Linked DNA regions of Daphnia pulex. The protein of the gene in region 1 purifies or fractionates together with the protein of each later gene. This does not show direct contact. Links are inferred from orthologs where the notes say so. Each region holds a gene or a part of one and is shown in the gene's direction. Other genes may lie near its edges.

Region 1 (3,044 bases):
AAGCTGTTTGTTAGTATGGATAAGGCCTGCCCAATTTCCTTTAGAATGGATAACCTTTCACAGGAATTCCACAGATATTGCATTCGGGGACAAATGGTGTATTCAAAGGCTGATCACTTTCAAGGCAAATAATAACATTTAAACGTTTCTCTGTATCCTTTTAACAATTTATTTAAATTTTCTTCCTATAGATCCCGTTGAACGGTGCCCAGCCCACAAGGGGACTGGTCCACCGTTGCCCTATACTCCACATGTATTGCGTTGTGATGACAATGATTCAACATATGTCGATCACAATGATATGCGGCATTCGGTTGTCGTTCCACTGAAGCCTCCTGCTCCCGGGACCCAGTCAGTGTCATTGTGTTACAAATTCATGTGCCTGTCTAGCTGCCAAGGAGGCTTGAACCGACGACCCACCAAACTGATCTTTACATTAGAGTCTGTGACAAAGTAAGTTGTCCATGAGAGAATTTTTATAATTATTAAAACTACATTCCTACATTACATTTCTTCTTCTAGTGGAGGACGATACGAGGTTTTTGGACGATATGCCTGTGATGTTCGTATATGTAGCTGTCCCGGTCGGGATATTAGGGCTGAAGAAGCAAGATTTGATAAAATGCATTCACATGATCCCACTGCCAGCGAAACAGACTCTTCAAACTTGATTCCTATCGAGCTTCCTTCCATGGCCCAGTTGAAAGGAAAAATTAAAAAAAGAAGAGCTGTTCTTCCTCCTCCTCCTCCTCTGGTCGCGCAAACAGATTCGACAGAAGACGATGACGGAATCTACAACTTGAACGTCAATGTAACTTTATTCATCATCACTTAACACAATTGTCCTACTAATTCACTATTTTAATAATATTTTTTAAATATAGATTAAAGGACTCAAAAATTATAATTTCATCAAAGATATTATAAGTCGTTTTCAACATGACTACGATGGCTTTCCCCCCGGAAACAATGATCAGGCTAATCATACTGATACTGGGAAACGTTTTAAAAAAGAGGAGCCTTAAATCGTGAAGTCTTCCCTTAAAAAGAGTCGTTTCAAAATACAGTTTTATTCTTTTTTAATGTTTCTTGAATTATTGGCATGATCATTAAAATTAAACCGATTTTTCACAAATTCATTTAACAGCGTGTAACTCTGTAACATGCCAATGATGTGCCGAATAAACTTAGTATGACTAAAAGAAATTATCCATTTTCTAATGGAATTTTTCAATGAAAATTTAATTATTTTTTAGATTTTATTCTTCGAATTTAGAACTAGAGTTGAGTTGGAAGTTGCCAAGTTGGACTAGCTGGTTTAAAGTGTAACCCCGGCCCCGCCCACTTGCATGAGTAGCAGACGACATTACACGTGTAGAAGTTAAAAGAAACAACGTGCTTAGCCGGTGTTTCACGACTTTGTTCGTGCTTAATAAACACGAAACACACAGACGGACCACACTGAATCAAAATAAATCTTTGGGCTTATTAGTTAATTGTTTAAACCATGTTCGTTCTAGCTCTTGTCAAGCAGACTGTAAGAGTTCCTTCAGAAAAATTCAATCGGGATATTGATCAAGCTATTTCGGAAGAATTGAACTTAAAGTTTGCTAATAAAGTAATTAAATTCCTATGATGATTGACATATGCATTTATTAGTAAAATATTTGTTCTCATTTAGGTAGTTCTGGATGTTGGACTGTGCATTGCTCTGTGGGATATAATTAAACGAGGAGAAAGTTTCATTTTGCCAGGTGATGGTGGCCATCATACCAAAGTTGAATTTCGTTATGTAGTATTCAGGCCTTTTATGGAGCAGATTCTTGTTGGTAGAATCAAAAACTGTGATAAGGAATCAGTCCAAGGTAACTGAAGATTATTCATTTGTTATTAACAGTTGTGCATAATCAAAAATTTGCATCAAGTTTCTTTGGGATTCTTTGAGGACATCTTCATTTCTTCTGAGAACTTGCAAAAAAACTCCAGATTTGATGAAACTGAACATCTTTGGATTTGGGAATATCAAACAGAAGATGGAAAACATGACCTTTTCATGGATACAGGTTTATAAAAAAACAGATAACAGCATAATTTTATGATAATTATCTTTTTGTGTTGATTGTAATTGTATTCTTTTAGGTGAAGAAATCCGATTTAAAGTAGTTGCTGAGTATTTCATTGATACAACACCTTCTGGCCCCAGTAATGAAGCACCTGACTCATCTCTAGATCCAATAAAAGACAATAAAAGGTTGTCGTATCGCATAAATGTGCGTAATTTGAAATCCGAAACATTACTATAGTTAAATTTCTTTTACTTTCATGTGTAAAACTTTAATGTTTTGTTTATTTGCAATTATAGGCATCTATCAATGAATCAGGATTAGGTTTGCTCTCTTGGTGGGCTAGCTGAAGTCTTGAAGCTGTGAAATGTTGCGATATTTAAATCAATAAACTTCACCAATGTGTTTTTTCTAATTTTCGATATTTACACTTTATTTCTTATCGTAAGGAAGGAACCACAGGCCATCTTTTAAAAATAGGAAAATCTCAGCCTTTTTGACAGTCCTTTTAGAAAAACTGAAAATGCATTGATTTAAAATGCAATGCATTTAACGAAAGCCTTATTCTAAATTTGTTTTTAAGAAAAAATGTTCCTACTAACGCAAAGGGTCAATTCAAAGATATACGTCTATGTTCTTCTGTTCAGCAAAAATTGTTTAATTCGGTTGAACTTATCTTATGAACTTCGAGTAAAAATAATTATTTTGAGGTTAAATAAACTTGAATATTCAGCATTTCAGCTATTATTATTTAACACCCGTTTGTGAAACAAATGTGTTTAATCGAAGTGAACGCTTTTTTAATGGTGTTCGGGGCGAACTTCATTATTTGTAATTCTCACAGTTTATTCGCCTCGCCTTATTTAATTGGAAACTTTGAGATACTTTGAATTCTGAATTTCATGTGTAAATAATTTAAAATTCTGTATTGAACGATGTAAAAGACAAATTAAACAAGCAAGAAACAAGTTGTGTAAATTG
Region 2 (4,418 bases), on another chromosome or scaffold:
TGATGAAGACGATGATGAAGACATTGAACCTGTCAATACTCAGAAAGACAGACCCCGTCGTAATCGAGCTTCGAAATTGGATGATGACGACGAAGAATTTGAACCTGTCAAAATCCCGGTTCGTTCGCGCCACACTCGTGCGTCGTACTTGGATAGTGATGACGACATTGCACCCGTCAAGACTACCGGTACCACGACCAGGGCGCGCTACAGTGCCGCTTCGTGTTTGGATGATGATGCTAACGGAGAACCCGTCATGAAACTAGAGGTAAATTTATTTGAGCGCTTTGTGAACCACCCACGTATTTTGCATAGCGTAGCATATCTTAAAAATAGTTTTATTCTATAGCTGATAGAATAAGCTCAAATTATTAGAAATTACCGTTGGGTTCTAAGTTTTGATTCTATAAGTTGACTACATTTTTGTTTGATCAATTAACAAACCATTAGCTCACTTTCAGGATATCGAAGAAGATTTACGCAAATTGCGTGAGGCGACTTCGTCAGTGCTCAATCGCTTCGCCACGAAGACCAACACCCAACCCTCTACTCGGTAACGAACAAATCAAATTTTCACGCAAATGAACCAGATGGTATTTAATGAATATCAATAGTTTGTCTCGTTTCTTTTCGAGCTATCTGAACGATGATAAGGATTACGAGAAGAGAAGCTCAAGTTACAGCTCTGATAGCTACAGTCCTAGCTACAGCAGCTCGTATGCCAGGCCGTCGTCGATAAAGCCGGTCGACTCTTCATCTTACGATCCGCCCGTCTACGATAAGCGCTACTCAATGTACTTGTCTAGCCGTTCCACTAACAAGGATTCGGATTTGGAAAAAGACGCAGCAGGTAAACCACATCCTCTACCAATTGTAATTTTTTTTGTTACCTGCAAATGAACTTCTTAATTACAGGAAAATCTGATCGAGGACCGATCCCGCAGGCAACAGCAGAACCGGAGTCGTATTCGAGACGTAGAACACCAAGGGCTTCAGCTTCAAGCGACGATAACAGCAAAATCAATTCACGAATTGCTGTCATGTCCAAATACATTCTTTCAAAGAATAAGACAAAAAATTAAATAAATGACAAAGACGAATACATTTTTTTTTTCATAGATGGTTCAGTCTCAGGATAAATGCCCCATTTATTCTCTCTCCTCCGAAAGAAATAATTTACCCATACATTACATGTCTGTAAAATGCTGACGTATTAGTTTAGTTCGGACTGTTTGATACGCCGAATATACTTCAGCTTATACCGTAAGTATCGCGCTAACATCCAAGCTAACTGTTTATATCGTGTACAGTTACTGTGTCTAACGTGTATGTGTTATTTGCCTCAGAAAAAATAGAAATATAAAAACTCAACAAATTCCTTGAAATACTATTGGAAATAGGATTTTCTTTTTTTGAGAGGAGGGTGTTTATTGGCTATCAAAATAATATTTAATTTCTTATTATTTACCTTTACCCTATAATATATGTCCGTTTGTTTTCTAGAAAAGCGGTTTCGATTTGAACTGAATTAAACTGAGAGACGGTGGCGAGACGGTGGCGACATCTTGCAGTAAATTTTAAAAATAAATAAAAGCAGACGACACTTTTCACAATAGTCATTATTTGCCAATTTTTCCCTCGTCCAGACACGTGTTAAAGCTCAACGGAAAAATGAGTAAAAGTAAAGTTAAATATTCATCAAGCAAGGAATACATTGATGAAAGTAGGAATGAACTCGTGCTGACAGAATTCGAAGTTCTTAATGTAATACTACATAACAGAAATCTTCCTAAGTTCAACCAAATTTAATAATAAAAATAACTATTTAGGCTGAAGCCACAGACTTCCCAGGAAATCATCATGGGTTTGACGACAGTTGGAGTTTTGAAAAGTTCAAAAAGGTTCTTCTAAGAAAAGTTCTACACTATAAGTAGATAAAAAGAGAGCATTACCATTTTTTCTGATTTTGTAGAGGCTCAAAATTAACATTGTCCGCATGGAAAATATGGAAATGGAGTTTGATTTGATTGGTGTTGATCCAGCCATACCAAATGCTTTTCGTCGTATTTTGCTGTCTGATATTCCCACCATGGCCTTCGACAAAGTCTTCATGTTCAACAATACCTCAATCATCCAAGATGAAGTCTTGGCCCACAGACTGGGACTGATACCATTGAAAGCTGACCCAAGATTGTTTGAATTCAGAGCTGAAGGTATACTCCAAACACCCATTCTTTTCTTTGTCACCTTACTTCATATAACTGAATCTTTGTTACCCCATCTCTCATTTTAGATGATGATACTGGGACTCCTGAAGATACACTTGAATTTGAGTTAAAAGTGAAATGTTCGTGGAATCCTCAAAGGACTAAAGATCATACAAATCCTGAACACTTGTACAGGGATTTCAGAGGTAAGAAGGGAAACTCAAACCTTTTTTTTTCGACAGAATGCTGACCTACTTTTTTCAGTTTTGACATCTCATTTGAAATGGATTCCACTGGGTGGCCAAAAAGATATCTTTACCCCTGATGCAGTTGGACCAGTTGACGATAACATTCTAATCGCAAAAATGAGACCTGGTCACGAACTTGACATCAAATTGCACGCAATGAAAGGGACCGGACGAGAACATGCAAAATTCTCACCCGTTGGTTAGTTTTATTGTTTTTTTTTATGATTAAGAATTTTTGGACCGAGATTTAAACAAAAACTATTTTTCTATTTTCTCAAGCTACCGCATTTTACCGTCTCCTACCACAAGTGAAACTTCTTAAGGAAGTGGAAGGTGAAGCTGCCCAAAGATTACAAAAGTGCTTTTCCCCTGGGGTTATTGATTTGGTCGACTCAGGTTTGCTACATACTATATTTTTTCTTCTAGCTTAATTAGTGTGAAGCACTACCTTTTTATTCTATTTCAGGTGAAAAGAAGGTTGCCAAAGTCAACGATGCCCGATATGACATCTGCAGCCGCAACGTATTCCGTCACGAAGATCTAAAAGAGGACACTGTAAAGCTGACCCGAGCACGCGACCATTTCATCTGTAAGTATTGTTATTGGATTTTTGCTTATTCCTTACTTTAGCGATGCATTTGAAAATGTGTTTAGTTTACATCGAGTCTACTGGAGCACTGGCGCCGGAGGTCCTCTTCACTGAAGCCGCCAAGATCCTGTCACAAAAATGCCGTGTATTTTTGGATGAATTGAAGAATGGACTGTAGGAATGGTATCCTAAATAGACGCGTTGATTCATGACGATTACGCATTATTAGTTCACCTGGAGGCGTTTGTGCCGTTGATATAGTTATCACCCAGGATTCCAGCCGAGTGACCCAGAACTGCATTTAGAAACCGAAACCGGAGCTTTTCAAACGGAAGGAAGGGAAGACTTATTTAAAAAATTTGAGGGGTGGAGGCGAGCAACTAATTCTTCCTGGTTTTACGGAAGGATACCTATCCTTTTTCATATGTTCCTTTCCATCGCTATTTTTATTTGCCTTCTGCAACAATGGCTTCTGTTTGTTTCGCTACTGGTTTTACGAAACGTTGGCGCTAGACTTGCTAGATAAGCTGTAGTAGCCTCTTATTGACCTTGGATCCTAAGGTTTTGATTGTTTTGGATGTGAACCGAGATGTTCCTCCTTCTAATGTTCTTCTTCCTTCCTTCTCACATTTTGTTTACACCGCCAATTCGTTTTAGCCCATTGTGGAATATGCGTAGGTGGTGCCAAGAAAGTCTAGGCAGATGAGATGAAGGAAATGGGAAGAAGAACAAGAAGTGTATTCTGTTTTGTTTTTTATCTCCTCTCCCTTTCTCTTTCCCTTCTTCTTCTTCCTATTTTCTTTTCTCTCTTTCTCTTAAGTCTATTTCTCATTGACCGTGGCATCTAAATTTAGTGCTCGTGGAAGCTTGTGGAAGCTTGCGAGCTTGTGGAAGAGTTTTGTTTCGGACGTAGAGCACTCGGGTCGCTTTCCATCTCCACGTTCACTACAAGTACAGTCGACGACGCACTCTGCTTGGTGGCCGGACGAAAGAAAAACCGTCTCCCTCAATCAAAAGACCCCTTTCCCCCATCTGGGCCGATCGTGAAGTTGTTAATTAGGGAGATCTTTTTTCTCATTTGGACTTGGCTGGACAACAGAAATTGGGTAAGAGAATGCCTCATATAAATTTATGCCTATGATTGTCTATTCATTTTTATTTCGGTTTTGAACCCCTATCGTTTCCTATTTTCATTCTTCGGATCCGGAGAAGACGATTACGCAATGGCAGGCTACTACTCCAGTCAACGAGGATATGGTGGCTCCTACGGTAGCTCCTATGGCGGTTCATCATCGTCGGCCTACACGTCATCCCTGCGTAGCAACTATATGCCGGTAAGTCTCCCATTATTGGGGCGGTTGAAATCCCCTCAAC

What was found.
Region 2: the proteins of DNA-directed RNA polymerase III subunit RPC8-like (region 1) and DNA-directed RNA polymerases I and III subunit RPAC1-like purify together in Homo sapiens (affinity purification with mass spectrometry; 5 studies listed by BioGRID and IntAct, counting the BioPlex papers as one, with this or other methods). This does not show direct contact. The link is inferred for Daphnia pulex from reciprocal best matches to the Homo sapiens genes POLR3H and POLR1C.

The regions. Positions count from the first base shown.
Region 1 is NC_060017.1:5,958,914-5,961,957, forward strand, and holds DNA-directed RNA polymerase III subunit RPC8-like, read left to right. Parts: upstream 1-1,335; 5' UTR 1,336-1,507; coding exon 1,508-1,618; intron 1,619-1,681; coding exon 1,682-1,865; intron 1,866-1,925; coding exon 1,926-2,063; intron 2,064-2,139; coding exon 2,140-2,270; intron 2,271-2,362; coding exon 2,363-2,413; 3' UTR 2,414-2,478; downstream 2,479-3,044. Other genes in the region: cellular tumor antigen p53-like, read left to right, coding at 1-124, 192-453, 523-811, 885-1,025.
Region 2 is NC_060020.1:1,790,194-1,794,611, reverse strand, and holds DNA-directed RNA polymerases I and III subunit RPAC1-like, read left to right. Parts: upstream 1-1,607; 5' UTR 1,608-1,671; coding exon 1,672-1,764; intron 1,765-1,829; coding exon 1,830-1,901; intron 1,902-1,972; coding exon 1,973-2,213; intron 2,214-2,293; coding exon 2,294-2,413; intron 2,414-2,471; coding exon 2,472-2,654; intron 2,655-2,734; coding exon 2,735-2,851; intron 2,852-2,921; coding exon 2,922-3,044; intron 3,045-3,109; coding exon 3,110-3,222; 3' UTR 3,223-3,227; exon of another isoform or gene 3,228-3,256; intron 3,257-3,305; 3' UTR 3,306-4,140; downstream 4,141-4,418. Other genes in the region: uncharacterized protein LOC124192222, read left to right, coding at 1-268, 462-553, 615-850, 916-1,082; sodium/potassium/calcium exchanger 1-like, read left to right, coding at 4,268-4,378. UniProt on the Homo sapiens protein: DNA-dependent RNA polymerase catalyzes the transcription of DNA into RNA using the four ribonucleoside triphosphates as substrates.